Linked DNA regions of Notamacropus eugenii. The protein of the gene in region 3 interacts with the protein of the main gene of each other region in a pairwise test. Links are inferred from orthologs where the notes say so. Each region holds a gene or a part of one and is shown on either strand. Other genes may lie near its edges. The genes, in order: SPATC1L, FAM107A, FSD2 and CORO1A.

The links.
Region 1: the proteins of FSD2 (region 3) and SPATC1L interact in binary tests that used the Homo sapiens proteins (3 or more experiments, as listed by UniProt). The two-hybrid records come from large-scale screens. The link is inferred for Notamacropus eugenii from reciprocal best matches to the Homo sapiens genes FSD2 and SPATC1L.
Region 2: the proteins of FSD2 (region 3) and FAM107A interact in binary tests that used the Homo sapiens proteins (3 or more experiments, as listed by UniProt). The two-hybrid records come from large-scale screens. The link is inferred for Notamacropus eugenii from reciprocal best matches to the Homo sapiens genes FSD2 and FAM107A.
Region 4: the proteins of FSD2 (region 3) and CORO1A interact in binary tests that used the Homo sapiens proteins (3 or more experiments, as listed by UniProt). The two-hybrid records come from large-scale screens. The link is inferred for Notamacropus eugenii from reciprocal best matches to the Homo sapiens genes FSD2 and CORO1A.

Annotation. Positions count from the first base shown.
Region 1 is NC_092873.1:68,617,148-68,624,226, forward strand, and holds the start of SPATC1L (speriolin-like protein), read left to right. Parts: upstream 1-4,064; 5' UTR 4,065-4,132; coding exon 4,133-4,170; exon of another isoform or gene 4,171-4,676; intron 4,677-5,772; coding exon 5,773-6,005; intron 6,006-7,079.
Region 2 is NC_092874.1:466,688,040-466,695,464, forward strand, and holds the start of FAM107A (actin-associated protein FAM107A), read left to right. Parts: upstream 1-4,418; 5' UTR 4,419-4,520; coding exon 4,521-4,647; intron 4,648-7,425. UniProt on the Homo sapiens protein: Stress-inducible actin-binding protein that plays a role in synaptic and cognitive functions by modulating actin filamentous (F-actin) dynamics. Mediates polymerization of globular actin to F-actin. Also binds to, stabilizes and bundles F-actin.
Region 3 is NC_092872.1:177,483,039-177,490,732, reverse strand, and holds the start of FSD2 (fibronectin type III and SPRY domain-containing protein 2), read right to left. Parts: upstream 3,018-7,694; 5' UTR 2,847-3,017; intron 1-2,846.
Region 4 is NC_092872.1:46,753,974-46,761,468, forward strand, and holds the start of CORO1A (coronin-1A), read right to left. Parts: upstream 3,010-7,495; 5' UTR 2,902-3,009; intron 917-2,901; 5' UTR 916-916; coding exon 718-915; intron 1-717. UniProt on the Homo sapiens protein: May be a crucial component of the cytoskeleton of highly motile cells, functioning both in the invagination of large pieces of plasma membrane, as well as in forming protrusions of the plasma membrane involved in cell locomotion.

The DNA.
Region 1 (7,079 bases), on a different chromosome or scaffold from region 3:
ACAGCTTTTCAGGAGGGTTAGGATTTTTCTTTTGGAAACTGTTGCCTATTAAAATTCTTTGATGACCTCTCAAAGAGAGAGTGGATCATACTCTCAGAAAGTGGTGTTAGCTAGCTCTTTACAGATTTTGGATTTTCATGAGAGAAGACTTAGAGCAAAGGTTTTTCCACCTTAATCTGGTATTTCTCTTTTTATTTTGGATATACTAGGGCTTTTTTATTGTTATGCAGAATGGGTTTATCTAGGATGAAATCCAGCTGTCTGGACCCTTCAAATTGAATATTTGAGTACTGCTAACATTTCCTACCTCTCCTTGATCTCTCTGTCTGTTTGTCTGTCTGTGTTCGTTCTTCGTTTTCGAAGAAGACCATGGATGGTGATAGAGCAAACATTCCTTTAGTTTCTAATTTGTGTCCTCCTGTATTTGTACAATATTTCCGTCATTGGATAGAATGTGAGCCCGTGGAGGGCAGACACTGGCACAGGACTGAAGTACTTTGTAAATGTTTGATAATTTAGAATTGATTGGGGTAAGATGGGGCAGGGTGATCTTGCCCCCATTTTTGGAATGCGGAATTTTTGCCTTTATAATGAGCTCCTTAATCTCCATATTTTGTTGGATTTTCCTGAACTTGCCAAACCTCAGCCTCCTTGATGGTTTGGTTTGGCTCTAGCCCTGGCCAAACTTGTTGGAACCATGTTCAGCCCATTCAGACTAGTTGGAGTGAATGATGCCCACTGGCTGAGGGTATGATTGGAAGCTGGTGGGCAAAAGTGCTCCCCTCATTGTTCACTCATATACATCTTATTCTCCCTTTGTATAATTTTTAAAGGAAGCCTTTGCTGTTTCCATTAACATGTCTTTGTCTCTAAATTCCTTTGTATGGCAGCTGTTTTATCATGTGGTGGTTCACACAGACATTCCTCCAATTACCTATAAAACTAGAGATAATTATGGTCTAGAGATAAGTTAATGTTGAAGAAGACCTTTCCCTTTCTGTCACTTACTTCTGGGTTTTGTTAGAGCTAATATGACCAGTGGGCCTTTATCTTGGGTTCTGCTATTTTGCTGAAATGATTATTTGGCTGCTTTCTTGTTGGTATTCTAAATAAAACATTGGATTATTTAACATGATTTTTGTCTTTGCTGCTTCTCTTTGTTAACACTCGTCCAGTTGTAATGAGGAAAGTGACTTGCCCCTGCTCACTCCTGTCCCCAGTGGGGAAGCCTCTGCTGAGTGTGAGGGAAATCAAATCAAATTTTTTTAATCGTAATAAGGAAAAGTGTCTTTATTACATCATATGTTTCAGAAGCCTTTTTCCATCTTTTGATATAAACGTTAGTTTTATGTTTGTTTAAAAAATTGATCTGTTTTATTTCCACTTTGCTAATCTTTGATCATGACAAATCTTTTTTGTTTGCTGTTGATAAATCTTATTTGCCCATATTTTTGCATTGATGTTTGTTAATAGGATTGAACTTAGTCTGAAGATGAGGACCATGATTTGGCTTCTGTGATGAACCTTTCTCAGTTTTTGAAAGCAATTTATAGAGTAGAGGGATTATTCTTTGTTTGATCAAATTCCCCTTTGCGAAACTTGTGTCAGGGGCTTTTTGGTGGCTTCCCATTAAAGGCTCATTGAACTTTTCCTCCGACGGGTTCCCTGGGTTTATTTCACTCTTCTGCCTATTTTGATATTTTATATTTTTTTAAATCTTCATTTCTTTTATATGCTCAGTTTTGTTGTGTACTCATGCTTAGAGTTTTCTTCATTAGTTCTCTCCCTTCTGACTCTGTCCATTTCATGGTCATCTCTTTTTAAAAATTTGCTAGTGTTTGATATTTTTTTTGACCATACTTGACTGCAATGAAAACCTGAATTTTAAATGCCTTTATTGGAGTCTACTTCTTAAGGTCTCTCCTGGGATCCTGAGGACACTGCTCAACTCTCCCACCCCTACATCTTCTCTTGTCATTGTGGTGTAGTCATGGGGTAGAGTGGAGGGAGGGGGAGGAGCCATTGTATTTATCTCCCAGTGACTCATTGGGCCAATATCCTGCCTCTTCCTCCTACCCCGCCTCCCCCCCAGGAGATTGAGGCCTCTCTGCCAGCCTTTGAATGTGTCCTCAATGCTCTGCTGGCAGACTTGATGACCAGGTCAGCTTTCTAGTCAAAAACCCAGGCCTTGAGTTGGTTTTCTGCTCTTGAGTGTAGAAAGCCTGCCTGTGTGATGTGGCTTCTGGCTACTTGGGTTCAGGACTCAGTTGCCCTTCCAGACACCCCTTCCCCAATCCTTTGTGTCCCATGCTTGTCCATTCTGTTCTTTCAGGTGGCCTGGGGCAAGGTGTCCTGCCCCCCTTCCCTAGATATCTCCAACTGAAGCCCAAGGTGAGCTTGAATGAGTGACATTCATACCTGGGGTCTCACCATCAATGCTGCAGTGTAGAATGTCCTGTGAAGGTCGAGCAGCCCCTGCCTCATCCACTGTGCCCTTTCCCCTCCCAGCTCCCTGTTTTCAAGGACTGTTCATTTGAAAGCCTGTCACCCCCTAAAAACCTGTCATCCCTCTTCCTATGTCTCCTGAAAAACAAGGAGGGAGGGAACCTTGTCTCCTGGGAAGCAGCCGGGTCAGCCAAGTATCAGTAGCTCTGCCAGGATGACTCTGCTTCTCATGCTCAGAATCTCAGAGGCTGGCTCAACTCACCTGTACCTGTACCAAGGAGATGCCCATCGAGCACCTCCCCAACCTCCCATCCAAGGGCATGTCCATCTTCCCTCCATGACCTCCCCCCATTGCTCAGCTTGGTGGTGCCCCCGATATCATGAAGAACATGGTAGACTTCCAAATACTTAGAGATGGCATGTCCTCAAGAGCCTTCTCCAGGCTAGCTGTCCCCATTCTAATCCTCGACCAGTCCCCTGATGGCACTAAAGCAAGGCCTCCCTTCACTAGCCTGATCTCCCTTCTCTGGATACTCCTAGTTTAACACTGTCTTCCCAACTTGGGGTGCCTAGATCTGAACCCAAGGCTGTGACCAAAGCACAGGACAGCAGGATGGGTGCCCTCCTACTCTTGGATGGCATGCAGTCCCCACAGCTTTCTGGCCTGCCCTATGGCCTTGTTAGTGCTTAGTGAGTTTGCTGAGTTTTGTCAGATCACTGCTGTTTGACTGTGTCATGCCTATCTGGCACCTGGAAGGAGGAATGTTGGATTCAAGTCCAAGTCTTCATCCCTATTGTATTTCATCTTGCTTGTTTGGTCTCCTGTTCTTGCCTGTTGAGACTTGAATCCACTTCCTCACTGCAGAGCAATGCAGAAGGAAGCCTGCTGTTCATTCTGTCATTGCGTTCTTTCCTCCTGGCCTCAGCCTTGTCTCTCACACCAGCAGGACAACCCACCTGGGCTTTATTTCCTGGGGAAACAGTGGTCTCCAAGGCTCTGACAACCAAGTTTTGGTGTCAGTATTTCATATTTGGGAAATGGGGAGTGAGTTAGGCTAAAGCATAGAAGAGTATTGGGGAGAGTGTGGACTGAAGCTTTAAAATGTGGGTGAAGGAGATGGGGGGCCAAGGGCATAGAAGGTGTGGCAGTCATTGTCACATGCAGTCTGCTGGTTTTGCTCAAAAAATCTTTGTTACAAGGGAAGGTTCAGTGGGTTGGGGCACAATTCTATTCAGGAATGACTAATGTAAACAAAAGGAATCAGTACAAAGGTGAGAAGAGCAAGACTAGGATTAGGGTCTAAGGTCACTGCTGGAGGAGGAGCAAGAAGGGCCACACAGGTTCAAAAAAGTAGGAGGCAGAACCAAGGGGGTATGTGAAGGGGAAGGAAAAGCAAAAGAGGACTCTCCAGAGGCAGGGTAGATGGGGAAGCAATTGGCCACGATAGAAAAGTGAGGAAGGTCAGCCTCCAGGGAAACGAGGAGCCGCATTTGGAGGCTGTCTGATTGGGGGTCCCTGCAGGCCATCCCAGGAGATTTGGCCTGAGGTAGATGTGATGAATTTGGGGATCCTCTGCTCTGAGGTAATAATTGAAGCCATAGAAACGTGTGAGATCACTAGAGGGGAGGAGGATGGAGTGAGAAGCAGGGCAAGGGAGGACAAGCACTCGGAGGTGGAAACAAGACCATGAGGGTACAGTGTCCCAGCAGTCAATGTAGGAGCAGGTACTAGGAAGGCAGTGGGTGCCGCAGCCTCCCCCAGGGATGTCTTTCCATCCCCTTTTGGCTCGTCTGCTATTTTGGTTTCCATGAGATCGTACTGTTCTATGATTCGTAGGAATGGAGCAACCCTGGGAACACATTGGTTGCAAAGCCTTGTTCTTTGGAAGCATCACTGAAAGCATTGCCCCATCTCACCTGCGACTCACTTCTAGGCTCAGCTGTAGGATCGTAGCTAGATGGGACTCAAAGGCTGTCTGGTCTACCCTCTCATTTGTCATCCACTTTACTGTCTCCATATGGATGTAGACTGCAGACGTCCTGAGGAGGTTTGGCAGGGTTCCAGGGCTGGAAGCCATCCTTCCTACATCCTCCATTTAAGAGGACAGTCTCCCTATCGACTGATGGGGTTTGCTCTGTGCTTATGACCCTGGTGAACCCCATGGGTTAGAGGAGCCTGGGTCTCTTCTTTACACAGCTCACTGAGGTCAGTCAGTGAGACAGTCAGTGAGGTCAGTCAGACAATGAAACTGTCTTCCTATGGGGTCACTGAAGCCCCAAGCTCCTTTTTCAAGTACAGTAAGGCTCCCAGAGTTACAGTTAATGAACATCTTAGCCGTTGGTACTGGGGACATAGGACATTTGGGTCAAACAGGACAGCAGGAGAAGGGGAAGGGGATGTTTTTTTGGTGGAAGGAGGGTGTATTTTAATAGCACATTTGGATTCCATATGTGCACTTGTCCTCTTTTTGTAGGACTTGAAGGATCATTACTGTGTTAAATCCTAGGAGATTATTGGCACAGTCCTTTTGAGAGGGAGAAAAGCAACTGAATCCTTTTGTTCTAACGAGTCACAGGTTCCATGGTCCTTGGGAACCAGAGGGGCAGAAAACCTGGGATATTAAGAAAGTTCTTGTTGGAAGCCCCGTAGAAGGAATCCCTGGTTGGGGTTGAGCTATGGGCTAACTCAGTGGCTTCTGAGGCTCCTTTCCAAGGAGAGGAAACTGCCAGCTAGGAGCAGGTGCTGCCCAGTTCCTTCTTGAGACCCATGGCCATATCTCCTCAAGTGGGGCTACTGTCTGTTTTTCATGCTTCCTTGAGAGCCAAGCAGAGCCTGAGGTTCTGGCACTCACAAGCTGTATGACCTAGAACTTCTCTTTTCTGAGGTTTCATTTCCTCATCTTTAAAAATGAATGAGATGATCTTTGATCTTTCCAATTCTAAATTCAATTCTGTGGCTCAAATGACCTTGTCCTATCTCTCTGTGACATGTCTTTTTAGACTTAGTAGGCTGGTGTGCCAGCTGATTCAGCTGGCCCTGTGGAGGGAAGTTTTCCACTGGGGATGGGTCTACAGAAAGTCCTTTAGTACAGCTCTGGTGAGCTGTGACTCCTTGCTGAGTTCTGGAGGAAGAAGGTCCCTCGGTTTCTCCCCTCAGGTCCTCTCTGACCACACCTGTTCCTTTAAGATGATGTGACATCATAGAGCTGTAGAAGCCCCAGTACTTGTCATGGAACATTAAAGCATTTGCCGACTTCTTGAGTATGACCTGAGAGTCATCTTTCCACCTTAAAAGTAGTAAAGTAGCCTTACGTACCTTTCCTTTAGGGAAGAGAAGAAGGACATGGCTGAGGGGAATGAACTGATGAACAGGCTGATGAGTGAGAATGCTGACCTGAAAAAGCAGGTTCGGTTAATGAAGGAGAACCAGATGCTGAAGAGGCTTCTCAGCGAGAGCTGCCATGAAAACAGCAGCCGAAATCGAGACTGTCGGGAAAGCCGAGACTTCCTCTTCCCCAAAGTCCCAGGATACCCTGAGGCCTGCTCCCCTGGGGCTGGAGGTAAGCAGGGAGGTGACGGGGCTGTTCCTCATTCACCATTTATCAAGTACTGACACAGCACAGCCCTGTGGTAGGTGCTGGGGGTACAGAGAGAAAAACCAGCACAGTCCTTGGCATCAAGGAACTTCCATCCTATTCATGTCCTGTTCCTTCAAAGTTGCCTATGGTGCTATGGAGTCAGAGGTTAGGAGGGAAATGTTTCATTTGGATTTGTTTTTTCTTTGTATTGCATAACTGTGTATGTTTTTCTTTTTAAAAAAAAATTATTTAAAGTTTTGAGTTCCAAATTATATCTCTCCCTCCTTTTCTCCTTTCCCTCCCCTTTCCCTGAGATGGTAAGCAATCAGATATAGGTTATACATGTATGATCATGTAAAACATTTCTATACTAGTCATTTTGCACAAGTATGTATATATATTAAATAAAAGAAAAAGAATGGAAGAAAGTGAAAAATAGCCTGCTTCAGTCTGTATTCAATCAATATCAGTTCTTTCTCTGGAGGTCTGTGTCATCATTGTCCTTTGAGGTTGTCTTGGATTATTGTATGTCTGAGAATGGCTGAGTCATTCATAGTTCTTCATGAAACAATGTTGCTGTTATGGTGTACAATGTTCTCTAGGTTCTGCTCATTCCACTTTTCATCAGTTCATGTAAGTCTCTCCGGGTTTTTCTAAAATCATCTGCTTGTTGTTTCTTATAGCACAACTTGCTTAGCCACTTCCCAATGGATGGGCATCCCTTTGATGTCTAATTCTTGCTACCACAAAAAAAAGCTGCTATAAATATTTTTGTATAGATAGCCTTCTCTCCCCCTCCTTTTCTGGATGTCTTTGTGAAATAGATATGGCAGTGGTATTGCTGGATCAAAGGGTATGCACAGTTTTATAGCCCTTTGGGCACAGTTCCAAATTACTCTCCAGAATGATTGGATCAGTTCACAGTTCTGCCAACAGTGCATTAGGGTCCCAGTTTTCCCACATCTCCTCCAAGAGATATTTCATTAAACCAAAGAAGGCTTTCCTATGAATCCAACTTGGAAAGGTTTCCACAGAAGGAATGGAAAAGAGGCTTCC
Region 2 (7,425 bases), on a different chromosome or scaffold from region 3:
GGGCCCCAGAAGGGGCCAGGCTCCCAGAAAGCTTCCTTCTGTAGCCATGAGCTTGCCAGAGATGATCCAAGGGCACAAGACTGGGTGAACTCTGATCTGTGCCTCCTCTAGGCTTATGCTGTAGGGTGTCTTTGTTCTCTGCATAGCTTGTTTCTTCATTGCTTCTTTAAAAGTTGAGAAGGGGAAGATGATAAATGTTGGAAAGGATATGGGAGAGTTGGAACACTAATTCATTGTTGGTGGAGCTCTGAGCTGAGCCAACCATTCTGGAGATCAATTTGGAACTATGCCCAAAAGGCGACAAAAATGTGCATACCCTTTGACCCAGCAATATTGCTTCTAGGACTGTATCCCAAAGAGATCATAAAAATGGGAAAGGGTCCCACATGCACAAAAATATTTATAGCAGCTCTCTTTGTGGTGACCAAGAAATGGAAATCAAGGGGATACCCATCAACTGGGGAATGGCTGAACTAGTTATAGTATGTGAATGCAATAGAATACTCCTGTGCTATAAGAAATGATGAACAGGAGGACTTCAGAGAGACCTAGAAGGACTTATATGAACTGATGCTGAGTGAAATGAGCAGAACCAGGAGAACATTGTACACAGTAACAGCCACAGGGTATGAGGACTGTTTCTGATAGACTTAGTCCTTCACAGTAATGCAAGGACCTAAAGCATTCCCAAAGGACTTGAGGTAAAATGTCATCCACATCCAGAGAAAGAACTATGGAATTGATTTTTCATGATTTTCTTGCATCACTCTCATTTCTCTTCCCAATTTTTCCTCCACCTCTCTTACTTGATTTTCAAAATCCTTTTTGAGTCCTTCCAGGGCCTGAGACCATTGCATATTTTTTGGATGCAGAAGCCTTGATTTTTATGTTTTCCTCTGATGGTATGCTTTGTTCTTCCTCATCCAAAAGGATGGAAAAAAATACCTGTTCACCAAGAAAGTGACCTTCTATAGTCTTATTTTTTTTGCCCTTTTTTGGGCATTTTCCCAGCCTATTACTTGACTTTTGAGTCCTTTGTCAAGTGCAGGGTATACTTTAGGGACCTGTAAGTTCTCAGTTCCTCCAAGGTGGCACAATCAAGGGAGAGGAGTTTACTCCTCTCCTGGCCTACACTCTGGTCTGGTAGCAACCACAAGTTTTCTGCCCAGGATCTGTGAGTAGAATTCCCTCTCCAGAACCTCCACCAGATCCACCAGGCCAGTGCTCCTCCTCACCCCAGGACTGCCACTCAGAGTCGAGACCCATATCAGCTGATCAATTCCCCCGGGGTCTTTAGGCTGAGGGCTCCTAAAATGAATGCTGCTACCACAGCAACTGCCACCAACCTAGGACCAGGGCCAGACCATGTTCCCTTCTTACCCAGGTGAAAGCTGACCTTTCTCACTGACCTTTGAAGCTGCCTTTGGTGTTTTGGGATTGAGAAATCTGGGAACCCCAGCTGCTGTCTGTTATTCTGTACCCTGAAGCCTGCTCCAGTCCTGTCCCTGCCACACGGCCAAGGCTAGGCTGCTCTCTGTCCTGAGTCAGTGCGCTAGACCTTTCCTGTCAGCCTTACAGGCTGTCTTGGCCTGGAAATCTCTTTCACTCTGTCATTTTGTTGCTTATGCTGTTCTAGAATTTGTTTATAGCCATTTTTTACAGATATTTTATGGGATATAGGGAGAGAGAGCTACAGCAGGTTCATCCTTCTACCAGAACTATGAAATTGGAATACAGAATGAAGCAGACTATTTTCTCTTGTGTTATATTTTGTTTTGCTTTGGTTTCTCCTATTCTTTTTAATTCTTCCATACAATATGACTAATATGAAAATGTGTTTAATAAAAATGTATGTGTAGAATCCATATAAGATTGCATGCCCTCTCAGGCAGGGAGGATGTAAGGAGGGATAGAAAATTTAAGACTTACAGAAGTTGAAAACTGAAAACAAATACATTAATTTATTTTAAAAAATAAAGTTGAGAAGCAAATGAAACAGTTGAGGATTTCACACAGTCCTAGCTCCTTTGCCTTCTGGAATATCATATTCCAGGCTCTCCAGTCCTTTAATGTTAGAAGCTGCTAAATTTTGTGTTATACTAACTATGGCTCCATGATACTTGAATTGTTTCTTTCTGGCTGCTTACAATATTCTCTCCTTGACCTGAGAGTTCTAGAAATTGGTTATAATATTCCTGGGAGCTTTCATTTTAGGATCTCTTTTGGGAGGTGATTGGTGAATATTTTCAATTTCTATTTTACCCTCTGTTCCCAAAATATCAGAGCAATTTTCCTTGATAATTTCTTGAAAGATGATTTTTTTTAATCATAGCTTTCAGGTAGTCAAAGAGTTTTAAATTATATCTCCTGGATCTATTTTCTAGGTCAGCTGTCTTTCCAATGAGATATTTCATGTTGTCTCCTATTTTCTCATTCTTTTTGGTTTTGTTTTATTGTTTCTTGATTTACCATAAAGTCATTAGTTTCTATTTGCTCAATTCTAATTTTTAAGGAATTATTTTCTTTAGTGAGCTTTTGTACCTCCTTTTCCACTTGGCCAAATCTGCTTTTTTAAGGAGTTTTTATTTTCTTAGTGAATTTTGGTGCCCCTTTTACCATTTGGCCCAGTTTGTTTTTTATGGTGTTATTTTCTTCAATTATTTTTGTGTCTCCTTTACCAAGCTGTTGACACATTTTTCATGATTTTCTTGCATAACTCTCATTTCTCTTCCCAATTTTTCTTCTACCTCTCTTACTTGATTTTTCAAAATTCTTTTTGAGCTCTTCCACAACTTAAAACCAATTCATATTTTTTGGGAGGTTTTGGATGCTGGAGCTTTGATTTTGTTGTGTTCTTCTGTGTTTAGATCTTCCTTGTCACCATAGCAACTTCCTATGATCAGAATTTTTTTCTGCTTGCTCACTTTTCCAGTCTATTTCTTGACTTTTAACTCCTTGTTAAAGTGGGGCTCTGCTTCTAAGGTGGAGGGCATACTGTCCCATACTTCAAGGATTTCGTACAGATATTTTCAGAGATATTTCTAGGGACCTGTAAGTTTTCAGTTCTTCCAAGGTGGTATGATCTAAGGAGAGGTGTGTTTCTACTCTCAGGACAGTGGTCTGTGAGTGACCACAAGCACTCTTTTCTGTCTTGGAACTGTGATGGGGTGCCCTGCTCCACTGAGGCTGCAAGCTGTAATGTGCTAGAGTGCTTCTCCTTGCCCTGGGACTGCCACCCAGAACTGCGACCCAGATCAGAGTATGAGCAAAGCAATAGAGTCTTGCCTCAGTGCTAGCAAAGAGGATACTGTAACCTCCTTCTGACCAGTTGTTTGACTCCTTTACTGTCTGTGGGCTGCTACTACAGAGGTAGCCACTGCCACTGCTGATTCAGTGGCTCCCAAGTTCTGCTCCTGGTTTTCTGGGGCCAGACTATACTGGCATGACCTGTACTGGACTGAGCTCTACTCTCACCCAGGTGGCACAGATCTTTCATACCAACCTTCTAAGTTGTTTTTGGCTGGAAAATTATTTCACCCCATCCTTTTGTGGGTTCTACCTTTCTAGAAATTTTTTATGGCATTATTTAAAGGTATTCACAGGGGTTTGGGGGAGAGATCAGGCAAGTCATTGCCTTTTCTCTAACATTTTGGCTCTGCCTCCTAAATTTGATAATTGTTTTTAAAGGAAGATTTGAACAATTTGATAAATTTGATACAGATTTAAATAGCTGCCACAGTGGACATGTTTTATACAATCTTCCATGTATTCAATCCGTGCCTCTCTACATTAGATCTCTGGGACCAAGGCTGTTCATTAAAATTCATCAGAATTCAGCTGCTTTCATGGGGTCTTCCTGGCAACTGGAGTTGTTTGTCATTTATTTCTCCAGATCATTTTACAAGTAAGGAAACTGAGGCAGAGTGAAGTGACTTGCCCAGGGTCACAGAGGTAGTGTCTGAGGTCAGATTTGAACTCAGGTCCTCCTGACTTCAGAACTAGCACTCTCTCCACCTGGCTGCTGGTTTATAAATTCCCAAGATTATAGGTCAAGAGTTGGTAGGGACTTCGAAAGTCATCTACTCCCATCTCTTCATTTTACAAGTGAAGAAACTGAGGCACCAAAAGTCTCAGTGATACCCCAGTGACTTAAGTAAGATTGTAAGTAACAAAGTCAGCATTTGAACCTTGGTGCCTCTGTGATTCAGTTTCCTCATCTATAATGCTACCTTCCTTCCAGGAAGACTGTGAAGAAAAGTGGATGTTCATCCATACTGGCCCTGGGATCCCAGCAGCCTGGCCCTCTCAACAGTAACATAATCCCCTGAAATCACCCAGGAAAGGTTTTGTGAGAGGAGCAGATCAAAATGTACCGCCTGGCAGGGGAGGGCAGGGGCTGTGCTGAGCCTGCCCATCTCACATGACTGCTTTCCGTCTCTGAAAAGATCTTACTGAAGTGAGAGAGAGAGAGAGAGCTCAGTAGCAGAGCTCCTGCCAAAAAGCTATGCACACTTGCCAGCATGTGCAGCCTCCGAGATTCAACTAGCTTCCCCCGTGCCCGGCCGGCACTCATGGCCCAGAGAGATATGGGGATCAGGGTGCCCCCTGAGGCAACAGGTCTCTACCGAGCCATGCTGGTTAAATCAGGTAAGAGCAAGCCTGGAGTGGGACCCTCTCCCCTGCTCCCCAGCTGGGCAAAGAATGTGTTTGCCTGCTTCCCTGTGCCAGTGTCCACCTGGGCACCTGTCCTGGCCCATCCTGGCATTTTTCTGGCCATCATGTACTGAAGAGTTTTAAGTCGGGATCCTAGTCCCACTACCAGACATGTGATTCCTTAATATGACTGATTTTAAATGATTGCTGGCACTTCTCTAACTGTGGGTATTATGATTATCAAGGAGGTATTTCTTTGGTTTCTTTTAGTTTGTTTTTTAACAAGTCCTACAGTCCAGGTAAGAAACTCCTAGTTTCAGGGGAAATAGCTTGCCTTTTGTAAAGGGGGAAAGGGATCGGATGGTTCCTATTTCTTTTACAATTTCATTTTGAGAGAGATATTTTCAATAGTGCTCATAATTCTGCGGGTTCAATCTTCCTTCTAATTCAAAAACCTGATCCATGAGAAATCTGCCAGTCTATGCTTCAGTCAAGGGCAAAGAGGTAGACCCAGCTCTGTAACCAAGTGAGGCACCCTGAGTGCCTTTCTGGGGCCCTGCCAGCTGCCAGCACTGGAGCCCAAGGCTAGCTGGGGCTTTTTTGTGTTGTTCCTGGAGTCTTGGGAAGCATCAGACAGCAAAATTGGAGGGATTTGGTCTGATTCAGCGGCTCCTGGAGTGGATCATTCCGGGACATGCTGAGAATAGCTAAACTCAGAAGCCTGCACTGGGACACAAAATGATGCTGCCTGGAGAGACCAATGCAGCCTTTCTGAGGTGGGAGTCAGTCAGCCTGGACTGATTGAATGTCCGCTGTCTGGAGAGATCTGAGCTGGAAGCAGGGGATGAAAAAATATATCAAAAAAACTTTCAAATCATGGAATGCCCAAGCTGGAAGAGAATTCAGAACTCCAGTCACCCTCCCTCCTCCCCATTTATATTCATTTGACAACTGAAATTCAGCGAAGTGAAGGGACCGGTCCAGGATCACACAGCTCCTTGGTGGAAAAGATGGAACCCTGATCCGCAAACTAGTGTTTATTCAGTGTCCTTTAAAATTCAATCAAATTCCACTTTCTCCAGGAAGCCTTCCTTGATCTCTCCCCACCCCCACATTCACAGGTAATAATCTTATCTAACAGTGGAATCACCTGCTAAAGAGGTAGGGGACTCTCCCTATATTTGAAGTGTGGAGGCTTAAGGTAAGGGGAATTCTTGTTCCAGTATGGATTGGATTAAGTTGCTGAGGTCCCTTCCAACACTGGGATGCTTTCATTTTCTGTGATTCTTTGTAAAGTTATATTCTATACATCCCTCTAGGTTTCAGTCCTATAGATGAAAACCAAGTGGCTCCTTGGGCTCTCTCATTTATCTTGCTTAGTACCCACAATTTGTGCTCTTGTGTATGGACCTCTGTGGCCACGAGCTCCATTGCTGACTTCCTTCTTGCATTTTTGACTCCTGAGAATTATGGGGTGTCTCTACTGCTGTTATTGTAACCATGCTCTGTGGTCCTGAAAGTTGGTTTCTCCTTTCACTCTCCTCCCTTTCCAGTTTGAAGTCCCTTTCTTTTACTAGCATTGCAGATCTCTGAGCAAATATATTTTTTAGCCTTTACTATCTACAATCCATCCCTAGCCAAGAGTGTATCATTCCTATATTTTAAGCCTTGGTCCAAAAATTAATTTTTTTTGTTTTCAGGTAAACTACTCAAGTAGTTCTTCACTCCTCAGATCTGTCTTTCTCTTCCAAAACTTCTGTTTTAATTGACAAACATGATGAAGAGACCACTGGGGCCCCTAAGGTCTTCATTTTCTTGCCCAGGACTTCAATGTCCCTACCATGTTTGCTAACTTTCTTATGGTAGTGTAATGTGTCCCTAGATTTATCACGGGAAGTAGGAAGCAAGTTTGTCAAGTCCTGTTGTGGCTATGTGCACCTAGATGTGGGTTTCATTTCTGCCTCACTCTCCTCAGATTCTAGGACTGTACCTGGCACGTAGTAGCTATGTCCAAAGGTTTGCTGATTGACAGTTTGACAAACAGCTGTCTTGGTTTCCTCAGCAGAGAGTCACCAGCCACCACTGACTTTCCTCTGACCCTTACTGAGTAACCTCTCTCCTTAGAGCCCTGCCTCCTCTCAGGATGGCTCAGCTCAGCCCTCTGCAGGGAGAGTCCATCACCTAATCCTCATGCCCCCACTTTTGTCACTCATATTTCCCTTTCTTAAAGTTCTTACCTTCTTCTCCCCTCTCATGCCCTGACCCACATCAGGGCACTCAGATCCCTCTTCAGCTCCTTCCTTTCTTTTTTTGTTTGTTTGTTTATTTTTACTTGGAAGTTTTTCTATTTTTAAAGGCATATTTTTACATCCCTTAGCAGGAAAGAGATTCCTTTTTTCTTTCATCTTTTATTGTAGGACAGAGACCAGCCTGAACTGTGTGCATTCATAGTCATCCCCTTGCCATGGCAGAAGGACTGAAAGCAGCCACCCTCTCTGCAGGCCATTGTGCCCGTCTCTCCTTCCCCTTCTGTCCTCTAAGTGTCAGAAGAGGGATCCCCTGGAGTCTTTTCCTGGCACAGGGCAGACTGGGTGTCTTCTGAAAATCCCCTCCACCTTGGAGATGCTGTGCTCTCTGGCACTGTAATAAACAGTGTGTGAGAGTGTAAGCGATGCCAGTTTTTAAGAATGTAGTCCTGAGCTGGTGCTGTGTAATGGAGTCAGTTCTAATGACCAAGTTTGGTCCCAAGTGGCCAGAGATGGGGGAATGGAA
Region 3 (7,694 bases):
GCATTTTATTCGTTTAATTAGAAATGTCTTCATAAATATTAATGATATCATGGAAAAAATTGGTCAAACTTTCCAGACATCAGAGAAATACAAATGACAATACCTCTGAGGTGTCACCTGTGCTAAGATGGCAAAGAACGTTAAAACTAAGAAAATTCAACAGGCATACAGCTCCACTCACTGCTGGTAGAGGTGGGAATTAGGGGATATAGAATAGGTGGCAGTATATAGTAAGAATGATCATACTGTTCATGCCCTTTGACTTCCTAAAGCAAAACAACAGTATTGACTGTGACTATGTAAAATTAATAATAAAAGAGCAATAAAATCTCCAAAACTATGTAGAAGAAAAAAGAGATTAGAATGGGAAGTGAAAGTAAGCAGCATGTTTTTATTAATGTTAATATACATTTTTTTAAAAATATGAATGAAGTTTGTGATTTTACCTACAATCACCTTTTGTTTCATTGGGATGAATGTTTTTGTTGATGGTTACTGTCTAGAGTTAAAAAAAAATAAGAGAAAAAATATTAGATATGGAGTTGTGTATGAGAGGCAGCATAGTGAGATGAAAAGAACTGATTCAGACACATTAGAGCAAGAGTCATTCCCCAGTAGATAAACAGTCAAAGGATATGAACAGGAAGTTTTCAAAGGAAGAAATCCAGGCTATAAATCAGGCCTGCACAACTTGTGACCCCTGGGCAGCTTATAGCCCTCACCTGCAGAAAGGTGTAGAGGAAAACATCCTTTGTATGTAGAGAATATCCTTTGGCAGTGCCACAAATGGCTTAAGGGCCATAAGTGTCCACCAGCCCAAAGTTATGCAGGCCTGCTATCCTGCTATAAATCATCCATGAAAAATGTTCTAAATCACTAATAGAGGAATGTGAATTAAAGCAAATTTGAGGTTCTGCTTCCTATCTATCAGAGTGGCAAAGATGACAAAAGAATAAAATGACAAATGTTGGTAAAGCTATGGGTAAACAGGTACACTAGTAATACTGTTAGTGGAGTCCAGTTACTAAGCTAGCAAAATGTATCCCCTTTGACCCAGCTTTGCCACTACTAAGCCTACACCCCAAAGAAATCAAAGAAAAAAGATCTCTATCATAAAAACATGTATAGTAGTTCTTTTAGTGGTGGACAAAAATGGGAGATTAAAGGAGTATCTTTATATTGGGGAATGCCTAAACAAATTGTGGCATATGAATAAAATGGAATTATTATACATGTATATATTCCATTAGATATGTATTCTGATATATAATAGAATATTATATATATGTGCTATAAAAATGATGCAATAGACAATTTCAGAGGAAACTGGGAGGACTTTTATGAACTGATAAAGTGAGCAGAATTAGGAGAACAACTCATATAATTATAGTATTAGAGAAAAATAGCTTTTAAGTCCCTAGAACTTTGATCAGTGATAATAAAAACATGAGTTTGAAAGAATAAAAATAAATGAAACCAAGAGATAATAAACTCAAAATTCAGAAAAATTTTTGGACATGGCTAACGTGGGAGTCTGTTTTACCAGACTATGTCCACAGAGATTTTTTAAAAATTGATCAATAAGGGGAGACGTAGGAGGATATAGTAGGAGAGACATTTAATTTTTTAAATATGTTAATTTAAAAATAAAAGTAATAAACTATTACAAAAAGAAAAGAGCACACAATTTAGAATTTAAAACCCCAGACTTTGAGTCCCAGCTTTAGGATGATAATTTTAAAGGCATTTAAGCTCTCTTAAATCTCATTTTCCTCATGTAAAAATGGAGATGTCATTATTTGTACTGTCATTCAGGATGGTTGTGTGAAATGTACTTTGGAAACTACAAAGCATTATACAAAAAATTTTATTCTAGCTGGCACTGACGTAGCACTTTAAGGTTTACAAAGTGTGTTGCAATATAACCTTCACTATGACCCAATGAACTATTATCCACTTTACGTTTGAGTAAACTAAGGGTACAAGAAGTCAGGGTCACACAGTGTCTTTCACGAAGTTATTTTAACTTAGTTCTTCCTGAATCTTAACCTAGCATTCTACCTACTATACCCTGTTGTCTCTCTCTGTGTGTATAAATACATATACACATAAATGTGTATATGTGCGTATGCATGTATATGCACACAAACATATGATCTGTTGTTATTAATGAGAGTTCCAGTCTTCATTAGTCCATCAAAACAACCTGACTATACAACCAGATTACTTCCTTTTACCAGGGATCAAGGGTGTGAGGAAGAGGAGAAGAGAAAATCATAGAACAAAAGCTTGGAGAATCTTTTCCGAAATTAATATCTTCAGTTAGCAATCTGGATTGCTGACACAAGATATGCAAATTTGATGATATAATACACACAGATACATATATATACATATATACATATAAATGCATCAATAAAAGCATGGCTAAATGTTAGAAATATGTTAAGTTATAGAAACTGTTAGGATATTAAGTTAACCACTGTACTTAAAATAGACTAAGATATATTGCTTAAACACTCTCTTCCCACCACTTCCAAAAACTTTCATTAGCATAGACAAAATATCCTATTTATAACATGGGAACTTGTCACTACTGATTTTAAAAAGGAATAGAAAATGATTTATGTCATTTATTGCCATTAAATTATACCTATATAAAACATCTTCAATTAGCCATGATGTTTTGTTTTGTTTTGGTTTTTTACATAAGAGAAAGTTTTTGGATCAAGTGGTTTGCTTAGTCTACAAGGACAGACACATTACGATGCAGCATGCTGAAATAAGGGTTTTTAAGAATCCAACATGATTTAGAAACAAGTGACTACAACTATATATAAACTTGCCTTCTAACTTAAGAATCCATAAATTCTTCTTTTAACTCAGATGACACCGAATTTCTGCAAAGAAAGAAAATGAATTCATCTTCAGTCTTTCAGTGCCAGCTTTCTGAGAGTAGCCTAGGAAAACTATATTGGAGTAATTCTGGATGACTCCTTCCCCCAAATAGTAACATGCCAACCATGAGCAAAGGAAACAAATATAGATCAGGCCCAGCTGTCCTGTAGTTTCACACTCCTCAGGTGTCACCAGGCAGAATGTCACATGTTACAAAGCTAATTGGAAATCATGGTGTGGAACTAAGTGTTTCAAGCCCCTTGTATAATTATTATGCATTTTATCTTACAAAGCATACTTAACCTAATTCTCTCCATTGCTGGCTAAAGACTGGGCTACTGGAAATATGTGGAGGACAGACTCCTACACCACATAGGAAAGGCAACACACTGAATGTAGTTCCAATACTTCAGTCCATCCATTAGGTTCATAAGTGGTCCCACAGACTAACACTTTTCTAGGTGGCACTGAGATCAACAGAGAAGCAGGAGCTCTTGGGTGGCCTCTGCAGCATGACACAAATATTGGTGGTGTCTTAGAATTCCAGAGCAGCTTCCAAAGGTCTCAGCTAATAGAACTTGGGGTTAAGGTTAAGGATAAAAGTAGAGATATGGGTATGGGTGCCAGATAGGTTGCAATATAGCTATGATCCCTCAGTGAATCCAGTTCTAGGCCATGTGGAATCCTAGGGGGTGGGGGAAGTTCTGAGTTTTTCTAGAGCAATGTTTCAAAGAGGTTTGGGTTAATCTTAGTGCCCTGAAAACACATGCTGGTGTGGTCTGGAGCTATGAACAGACTAGGGAAACATAGTATCCTACTTGAGAGCCTACCTTGACTTTGAGAGACAGCTCAGAAGCCAGTACCCTGCAAAGTTACATCCAGTCAAATGAAGTTCCCTGGCCCTGCTTCAATCCACAATCTAGGGGAGTCCTGAGATGTGGGGGTACAGAGGCAAGACAGAGTGGGATAGAAAATCTCCCCCACTAAATATGTCACCAGAAGACATTAATTCAAGTTCCTGCTCTTCCATTTACTAGCTGTATGACTACAAGCAAATTACTTAATATCTCTGAGCCCCTAATTTCCTAATCTGTGAAATGGTCATAATATAATCCTTATGCTATCTGCCTTTGGGGTTGTTGTTATCAAATCCTTTCCTTTTACAGTTGTGGAAACTGAGGCTTAAAAAGGTTAAATGGTTTGACCAAAGCCACATATCTAGTGTGAGAGATGAGATTCAAATCCAGGTCTTTCTGACTCCAAGTTCAGTGCTTTATCTGCTACATCATGCTGTCCATAATACTTTGTAGATTATAGCAATGTGTCCTACCTTTTATTATTATTACTTCATAACCAGTCTGCTATGACACTCTGAGAGGTTCCAGATTATTATAGCATTAGAATATAAAATCAGAATGTTATGGTTGGAAGGAATTGAAGATGTTATCTACTCCAACTTCTCATTTGATGTATGGTGAATGCAAGAATGGCAGAGTAAAGTGATCTGTCCAAGGTCACAAATTAGTGGCAGAATTGAGAACCAGAGGCTCAGGTCCTTTGACTCCTAGGTCAATGCCCTTTTTTATGTAATAAAATGTATTCTAACCACGTGCACTTCTAGATATTCTTCTGGGAATATGGAGACAAGTGCTAAGTGCCTGCTCTGATATTTTCCAGAAACATTCTCAGGGTGTCATAGAAAAGTGAGCATTAAAATGGTAGCTGTTTATAGGTTGTCAGTTTTAGAAAGAGTGGTTGTGTCCTAGAATCCAATGTTCCTTGGATCTATGACAGTGCTTGGGTGAGGGGTGTAGAGGGAAGTAGAGTGCTCTGTTTCGTAGTTCAGATGCTTTCAGTCTGGTTTTCCACTTCTGAACTGGAAAATTACCTCCTGATTGTCTTTCTCCTCCTGTCATCTTCTCCTCGACTTTCCTCTGAACTTCTGAGTTCCTAGTGGGTGAGAAAGGAATGGGAAAGTCACATTACTGGTATTAGAGTGAGTAATTACAGTTCTTCTATTTCCCCTCACTCTCCCACTTTGCTCCAAAAGAGAACGTGTTAGAATTGAACAAGGGAAGGAGCTTCCTCTTTCTTATCAGGTATGAGAATATAGATGTCTCTGTACAGAGAAGGAAATTGTATAGCAACTTTCATAGCAATTTTTAAAATTAGATCTTTTTCACTCCTCCCTTTTCTTTTTTAAATTCAATAGTATTTTGTTTTTTCTAATTACATGTAAAGACAATTACATGTAAATTTTCAACATTCATTCTTTTGAAAGATTTTAAGTTCCAAATTTTTCTCCCTTCCCAACCTTTCCCCACAGCAGCAGGTAATTTAATATAGGTTACATATGTTTTGTAGTTTGTCAATTGATGCCTCTCATGAAGCAGGCTAAGCTGCAAGAGGAATCAGCAACTTAGTAAGAAAACACAGGCAAATTTATCGTGTAATGATGCTGATTACACAATGGAAATTATGAATATTAAAAAGGCAGGAGGAATTTGTTAAGGCATTAGGTAATGGGAAGGGGTCCCTTCTATGGTTCAGTGGTCAAACATTCTGGTTGTGCTACCCTCTGATTGGCTAGTTATTATGGTCCTATCTTGGTCAAGATGGATAGTTAGGTACTGTGGTCCTGTCTTGGGCTAAATGGATGATGTGATTGTGGTTGAATACAAGAACACATCTCTTCAAATATGTAAATTGGATCTGGGGACAGTGGCTAGTCAGGGCAGTGGCTGTATTAAGTCTGGGGGGGCCTGTGGTGTGGTTAAAGCCAGACTATGTGGTTAAATCAGAACATGCCTTCTGCTCATTAGGGCCTATATGGAAGTTAGAATATTGGAGCTGGGGGCAGATTTATTAGGATTCCATCACGTCAGTAATCATGTAAATATATTTCCACATTAGTCATGTTGTAAAAGAAGAAACAAAACAAAAGAGGGAAAAATCACACAAAAAAACTCCACAAGTGAAAATAGTATGCATTAATCTATACTCAGACTCCATCAGCTCTTTCTCTGAATGTTAATAGCATTTTCCATCATGAGTCTTTTGGAATTGTCTTGGATACTTCTATTTTTTCTTAAAGTCCCAAGTAATGAAGCAATGGTTTAAATGTATATTTATGTCATCCTAAAAGTTATAAACTTGTATAAAAGGAAGTCAGAATGAAAGTGACCCTCTAGAAAAAGGAGACATTTGACTAATAGTACTAAGAGGAATGCTTTGCTTTTCATTTGGAAACCTTTCTTTCTGGCCATATTTCTCAGTGACCATTTCTCTCTTATCATCAGGATCACTTCAAAGCAAATATGTCATGAAAATTTACATAGAATACGGTGATTATTGACATCTCAATAGATTTTAAGGCTTGCAAAATTTATGTTAATAATAATAGCAAATACTTTACATAAATTAAGCATTTGTGTAGGCATAGACCTAGTCAGATCTAGGTCTTTCTGACTCCAGGTCTAGTCCAACATTTATTTTATTCTGTTGTCCCTATCAATAATTGTTTAACTAGAACCAGGCAAATAAATTACAATAAATGTGAGAGAGTGTGTTATGTTGGAGAAAACCCTAGACTAGGAGTCTACTTGCTAGCTGGATGGGTGACCTTGGACAAATCACTGAACCACTCTGCTCTTCAAGCTCCTCATTTGTAAAATATAGATAATGAGATCTGCCTTTTCAACTTCATAGGGCTATAAGTCCCAAATGGCATAATGTATGTAAAACATGCTTTGTAAACTGCTAAGTGCTATATAAATTTAACCTCATAAACATTTATTACCCACATAAAGGCACTATCCTAGGTACTAGAGATGTAAAGTGGAAAGATGGGGGAGAAGGGGGCATTTGCAACATTCAAACAACTAAGTGTGACACAGAGCAAAGTGTAAGGGGGCAATGGAGAAATCAAGAAAAAGCATCCTAGGGAAACTTGAGGAGGAAAAGAAATAAGCATTTAGTAAGTACTAGGCTAAGCATAGTTTATAAATATCATCTCATTTGATCCTCACAACAACCCTTCAGGGTAGGGTATCCAAATTTTACAGCTGAGGAAAATGAGGCAAACAAAGGTTAAATGACTTTCCCAGTGTTATATAGTTAGTGTCTGAGACCAAATTTGAGCTCAAATCTTCTGACTCCAAGCCCAGGGCTCTATCCATTGCACCACCAGCTACCTCCTCTGAAAGGGGATGTATGCCTTAAAATTTGAAAGAGAAGTGGTAGCCAGACTTGGGAAGGCCATAAATTACAAGCTAAGGCATTTGTACGTGATTGATGATCTTACATGAGCAGACCTGAGAATTAGCAAGATATTTTTTGTCAACTATGTGAAGGAAGAAGAAGGAGGAGACTAGAGAAAAAGCCAAACACAATCATCTAAGGGAGAAGGGATAAGGGACTGAGTCAGAGTCAAAGTCAATGAACATGTAGTAGGCACTGTGCTAAACTCTGGGGTTAAAAAAAAAAAAGGCAGTACCTACCCTCAAGGAAGTCACAATCTAATGCATGAGACAAGGCATGAAAAAAGCTGAAAGGAAGAAGGGAGATTATCAGGATGAAGGGGAGGGATGATGTAGTAGAGTGGAGTAGAGGGAAATGCTCTGAGAATGTGTGAATTTCTGAGTTGATTCCATCCTGCTGAAGATGAGTTTCTAGAGATGATGAAGTCCAAGAAAGTAGACTGATTATAAAAGGACACATTAACATATCAGTATCTTTTTATTTTAACTAGGAAAATTCTAGTGAGGCAAATCCCTCTACTAATGCAGATTAGCACC
Region 4 (7,495 bases), about 130 Mb from region 3:
CGGTGTAGAGAGTTGGGTGGGGGAGGCCAAGGGCTGAGCTCTCAGCACCCAAAACCACTTCCTCTTCTGTTTGTCTCCATCAGCCCTTTTAAGGTAACAACCTCAGACTTCAGACTACCCCCATCCCCCCAGCCCAAGTTGCAGAAGCACAGCTGAGGAGGGAGGCTGGGGCGTCAGATCCCCTTAAGCTAGGTCCCCCACTACCACCCCTTCCTAGTCCCCAGTAAGTCCCTATGGGAGCTCATAGGGAAGCAGAAGACCAGCTGACCCACAGATGATGAGATGGGGAGGGTAATGTGGAGTATCTTGTTTTTGTCCCTTTGACCAGATTTCTTAAGGTATTCTCTGCTGGTCCTTTAGCTTTCTTCTGGTGCACTGTGGAGACTCCCTTCCCTCCCCAGGTGGTATCCCTAAAATGAGACCACCTGAAGAAATGGAAGAAGGTGAAAAGGAGACAGGGTCTAGATCTAGGTCAGCTAATAATCATGACCTTGGACAAGTCAAGTATCCTGTTTGGACTTTATCTCTTCTAAGCAAGTTGGATTAGATTTCTTCTCTCTTGGAGGTCTAAATTTGCTGGATTCTAAAATCCTGGAGGAGGGACATTTCCTTACTACTTGAGGGCTTCAGGGGGCTGAGGGGACCTTTATTTTCCTATCCCCTTTCCCATAGAAGGTTTACCCTTCTGGTTTCTCCCATCTCCCAGGATCTCATTACCTTGGTCAGGGGCAGCACCAGAAAGGCCCCTCCCCCACTGGCTTCACAGATCAAGGCCATAAACTTGGGGTTGACAGCGCAGAACCCACTGTCCCAAGTGGTCTGGGAGACTCTAACATCCTCATAACACTGGTCAGCCTTGGCTGGTTGCCCAAACACATGTCGGAACTTGCTGCTTCGTACCACCTGTCGGCTCATCCTGGGGGTAGACATATGAAGAGAGACTCAAAGGGGGTCCTGTGAGCTTCCCACCTTCTCCCAGCTCAAAGGAAATGAGCTAAAAGATCAGCTTCCTCACTGATCTCTCAGCTTCCAGTCTTCCCTCTTCCAGACCATTCTCCCACATTAGCTCTAAAATTTCCATAGCAAAGCATTGATTCTGATACCTCCCTCTACCACCTTTATCCTCTTGACTACTGAATCAAGTTCGACTTCCTTGTCCTGGTATTCAAGGCCTTCCATGAGCTTACCTTTCCTACCTTTGTTTCCCATGACATTCCACCCTGCAGAAACCCTGGGCTCTCCATTCACTGGTGTGCCCATGTCTACCAGGGCTGTCCCTCTGCCTGACATCTCCCCACTCTCCATCTGCACACATGGACTGCACGATTTCTTCTTCCTCCACTCCTACAGCATGTTGCTGTCTGTGCCACCCAGTTGGCATTTAGGCATCATCTAGCATTTGTTAATTATCTTTTCATGTCTCATCTTCCTAACTTGACTACCCTGCATGACAGCGGAGATAGGTTCATATTCATGCATCTTTCTGTCTCTCATAGCACCTAGTTTATAAAACCCTGCACAAAAGTAGGTGATCCATGGACTTGAATGAATGACTGCTGCCAGAGAATAGTGGGGATAACCTTTGTAAATCCCCTCCTCTCTCCAGCAGACATCTTTCTAGAAATGGTCTCCCTTCTGCTGCTTTGCCCCTCTCCTGGTACCTTAGAGACTAGAGGCTCAGAGGATGCAGGGAAACCCCCCCTTCCAGGAGGCCATGAAGATTAGACCTAAAGGAGAGGCCAAGCTTCATTTACATCTGATACCTGTTCCTTTTAGGCCCTCCCATGCTGGGAAAAATTCCTCCATTACTGGATCAGAGCATGGTGCTCCAGCCCTCCCTCTTACTCCCCAAAACCTTGCACTACCTGCTCAATCCACAGGGATATACAGAGGCTTCTCTCCTTAAACCCCCATATACCCCATGATCCCAGATCTCCATCCCTGACTGGCCCCTGTCCTCGAGGAGGTGGTGTGACTGTTGAGTCCTGTTCTTGTCCCTCCATCCTCTTCCTAGGAAGCTCTGCTTTAGCAAACTAGGCCTCAATGGAGAGGGAAGTTGAGGATTCTGGACCTGAGCTAGAAGAACCAGAGCACTGGCTGGGATATCGACAGCAAGGGCAACAGGTTGTGTGCCCCTCAGAGGGTAGGGGAGCCATGGGTGGAAGGACACAAAGGTCTGCTGCTGCCCTAGATCTTGACCCCCTTCCCACTCATCCCTCCGACTCACAGGGCAGAGGATCCTGTCTGTCTTTAGCTTAAGAAAGGCAAGCTCTTGAGTTGAACCTGCCTAGGTTGATTTGATGGGTTTTTTTTTTTTTTTATGGTGGGGGAAGGAAAGGCAGGAAGCTGCTGCCCCACCCAGTCCCCCTTCCCACCCCAGGTACCCTGCAGGGCTCAAAAACCACAGAAAGGGGAACTTAGGGTTTTCTTGTTTTTCTCTTAAACCTCTTCCTGTCTCCCAGTTCTGAACATTCTGCTCATCCTTCTGTCTTCTGTGCCTCTGCCGAACACCTCCCATACTCTGGGGGATTTGTTCTCAGGCCTGCTCCCTTGGACTCTTCCAGGGGAGCTGGAGGGGGTGGGGGTGGGGATGGAACTCAGAGTCTCACCCACAAGCTCCTCCCTTCCCATCCCCCCAACTCGACCTCTACAGTGATCCAGGGCTGGCAATGAAGCCTCTTAAGACACCCCACCCACACAGACACAGAAATAGTCAAACATAGGGGAGGCACACAAATACTTGGGGTGGGGATATAACTCTGACATCTCTGTCCCCACAGCCTACATTTCTCCCACACGCAAACCCACACCCACAGGTGGCTGGTAGGTGGGTGGATGGCCAGACCCTCCAAGCCTCCCCGTGGACATATCCCCTCTTGTCCCTAAGTCCCTTAGGCTCACCTGATGCAAACTGAGATCCAGGGAGACCAGGCCTGATGAGGAGGAAGGAGCTGAAGCCGGAGCCTGGGAGACACCACCCGCCCGGCAAAGGATGCTCCTGTCAAGACAATGAATGAGAAGCAGACGGCTTAGCCCGGCCCCTTTAAGAACGGCAGCACCCCTTTGGGGAGGGAAGGAGGCCGGGCTATGAAATGGAGCACGCCCACTACTCTTCCTTTAACTGTCTTTAGGTCTCAGTTCCCCAATCCTGCCCCAGGCAAAGTTCACCAGCAGAGTGGATGAGATGGAGATGAGGCAGTAGTGTGTGAACCCTTTTCAGGACAGGTTTTTGAGGGATCGGGCCGCTCCCCTGTGCTCCTTTTAGGTGGGGCTGGTCAGGGATTCTCAATCCTATTATATATGATCCTCCATCCAGAGCTTGAAGGAGCCCTAGAGGAATCCCCTCATTCTACCTATGGGGAAACTGAGGCCCAGAGATGCTGGGTGACTCTCACAAGGCTGTGCAGGTAATAGGCCTTGACATGAGCTAGGGTTAGAATTTAGACCCAAGCACTCTGTAAATCCCAGGCTCACACTACTTCACCACACTACCCTTTGAGTTCATATTTTTAATCTCCAAATGCACGGATCCCTTCTCTCTCTCCCTCCTCCTCCTCCCCCTGACCCCCCAATTTGATTCCCTTTGCTTCAGTCTCATGAGGTCTCTTAGTTCTGTATAATTAGTATTATTAGTCCCACAGGCAGGAGTCTCCTATCGAATCTATTCCGTTCCCCTACTGCCTCCGGCATGAGGTTAAGGCAGGCACCTTCAAGCGTTCTCAATGCCAGTATCCCACCACTCCCTTAACCTAGGTACTTATTGGGCTCTCAAGGTTTTGTGTAGTTAAAAGCACTGGCCTGGGTAGTCAAAATGTCAAAATACCAATTTCCAGGTCTCTACTACTGACTCCCTGAGGAAGAGAAGGCAGCTAGTTCCAAAATCACCTTGGAAAGGGATACACTTGGGGTGGGGGATAGACCAGGAATCTTGTACATAGTAAACTCTTAATCAATGCTTGATCAGTGACTGATTGAATAAAGATTTAAAGGAGGAAAAGGAGGAGACTCCTGAACTTTTGGAGAAGGATTAACAGGAGCTTCCAGGGACCCCTCAGAGCCATTCCTCCTTCTACCCTCACTCCATCTCATATCTACTGGATGTCTCTGATGAAGGAGAGCATTCATGCTACCACCACACTCCCCTCACTCAGTCACTCCATCACAGTCAGGAAGGCTTTCACAAAGTCTAACATAAATCTCTCTAGAAGCAGCTCCAATACATTTTCTCTAGGTCAGTAGTCTCTGAAGAGATTTTTGCTGCGGGTGAGGGCTAAGTGGTCCAGTCTCATAAATTCATGTTTATATGTACAATATAATTCTCCTTCATTATCTGGCAATTTCCATGCTAAAACTGGATTAAACTGAGGTACCATTCCTTAATTGTCTTCTTTATTACCACAGTGGCTGTACCTCAGAACAAATATAGGAAAGCAGAAACTTGGATGGTCAGAAGTTGACAAGAAAAACATTTAAGGTCCTTATACGTATAGTAAGTAAACTATGTGATGTAATGGCTAGCTTGGATGTCTTGGCAGCACTATAAGGAAAGCTTCATGACAGGAGGGCATCTGAGGAGGGGCATTGAAACACTGGTGAATTTCTAGGGGAAGATTGACTAAGATGGTGAAAGGTCTAGAAATCCTATCATTTGAAGGAACTAGAAATATTTCATTTGAAGAAGATAAAATTTAGAGAGAAAACAAAACAGTCATGAAGAAGAGGGATTACATTCCTTCCCTGGCTGCTGTGTCCCTACCCCCTCCTTCCCATGTCTCTGCAGAGGGCAGAATCAATTGGGAGTTTATGGGATCATAGATCTTAAAGCCAAAAGGAAGCATAAAAGTCATCTAGTCCAACCCCATCGTTTTATAGGTGAGGAAACTGAAGTGTAGAGAGGGAATGGCCTGCCCGAGGTCACCTACGTAGTAAGAAGTAGAGTAAAAATTTAAACTGTTACTCTTTGGGGAGGCTGATTGGCTTGATGTGAGGAAGACCTTTCTTACAGTCAGAGCTGTCCCAGTCTGGAACAAATGGGCTGCTTCGTGAGAGATGATAAGCTTCTTTTCATGAGAATTATTCAGAGGCTAGCTACCTGTCAGAGGCTCATCGAGGACTTCTTTCGCTGAGGGAAGTTGGGCTGGTTTCCTCTAAGGTCTTTCCAATGGTTGAGCATATGCTACTGATTCTTAGTGTGTAGTAGAGAGGGAGTCACACAGATTGTTAGCATAGCAAGGACCATCCTTAGGCCATTGATGGCAACACAGAAGAAGCCCCTCCTGAGTCTAGAATTTTGTACAAGGACCTAGTTGACTATACAACGAAACCACGTGGCATGATGGAAATAATGCTGGACTAGAGCAGAAGACCTATGATGTGCCAGTTTCACCATTTACTGCATGGCCTTCCCCTCTTTGAATCTCAATTTCTTCAGCTGTAAAGTGGGGGAAAAAAGAATAAATAAGTGTAGGCAAAGAGGAAACAAAATGATCACTTTTTGTAGATGATATGATGGTGTGCTTGGAGCACTCTAGGGAATCAACTGAAAAATCAGTTGAAATAACTTTGGCAAAGTTGCAGGATAGAAGATAAATAGATCTAAATCATGAGCTTCCCTATATATAGACCTCAAAACTCAGCATGAAGAGCTGGAAAGACAGATTCCATTCAAAATAACTATTTTGGAGTATACATACCAAAATTCACCCAGGGACTGTATGAATCTAATTATAAAACTTTACTTTTTGCAGGTGGTACAGTGGATAGAGTACCAGTGCAGGAGTCAGGAGGACCTGAGTTCAAATCTCACCTCAGACACTTGACATTCACTAGCTGTGTGACCTTAAGCAAGTCACTTAACCCCAATTGCGTCATCCTGGATCATTTCCAGTCATCCTGATGAATATCTGGTCACTGGATCCAGATGGCTCTGGAGGAGAAGTGAGGCTGATGACTTGCACAGCCCTCCCTCACTCAAAAAAAACAAAGTCAAGTGCAGATCATGTCATCATTTCTCTGATGGCATGGTCTTCTTTGGCATTGAAGGACAAACACACACATGCTTTTTGCAAAAATATAGACCTAAATAATTTTGTTATTCATTCTTTTCAGTTGTGTTCAACTCTTTGTGACTCCCATGGGGATTTTCTTGACAAAGATACTGGAATGGTTTACCATTTCCTTCTCCAGCTCATTTTACAGATGAGAAAACTGAGACAAACAAGGTTGAATGACTTGCCCAGGATCACCCAGCTAGTATGTGCCTGGGGGTAAATTTGAACTCGGGTCTTCCTGACTCCAGGCCTGGTGCTCTATCCACTATGACACCTAGCTGCCACAACAAAATAGTGTTTCATAAACCCAAAGACCCCAGCAACTGAGGTAAGAACTCACAATCTGACAAAAGCTACTGGCAAAATTGGACAGCAGACTTACAGAAATCAGGTTTAGACCACACCATACACTAAGATAAGTCCCTAACAGATACATGATCTAGATAAAAAAGTCATGTCACAAACTAACTAGGGGAGCAAGGAACACATTATCTTTTGGATCTATGGATAAGGGAAAAATTCATAACTAAACAAGTGATAAAGATCACACAAGATAAAATGAACGGTTTTAGTGATATAAAATCAAATGCACAAGCAAATTGAAACAGGTAATTGAGGGAAAAGTTGCGACATTTCACTGATAAAGTTATCATTTCCAGGATATTAATAAGGAACTGATTTAAATTGCTAGGAAGCAATTGCTGAACAGGCAGTTTTCTGAAGAAGGTATCAAACTTCCAAAAATCATATGAAAAAATGCTCTAAATCAACAGTAATTAGCAAAATGCACATTAGGGGAACTCTGAGGTTCCACCTCAGACCTATGAGACTGACAAAGATGACAAAAAGGGAAAATGACAAATGTGGCAGGAGCTGCTGGAAAACAGGTATACTAATGCACTGTTGGTAGAGATGTGATTTGATGTAGCTATTCTGGAAAGAAATTTGGAACTATGCCCAGAAAATTACCATACTTTTCATACCCTTCTGACCCAATTATACCACTAAAAAATAAAAGAAAGAATAAAAGTATCTATAAATACAAAAATATTTATAATAGTTCTTTTCATGGTTGCTAAAAATGAGAAGCTAAGGGCATCCTACTGGAGAACAAATTCTAGCATATAGATGTAATGGAATATTATTATACCATAAAAATTACAAAATGGACAATTTATGAAAAAACTGGCAAGATCTTTATGAACTGATGCAGTGAGAAGTAAGCAACAACAAGAGATTTGTACAGTGACAACACAGAGAAAAGAAACTTTGAAATACTTTAGAACTGTGATCAATGTAGTATTCCACAAGTCCAAAGAATGTAGATAGAACATCTAACTCATCTCTTAAGAGAGAATTGTTGAACTTAAAATGCAAAAAGAGACATATACATGCATTTTTAGACATCACTAATATGGGAGTTTTTGCCAGACTATACAGCCGTG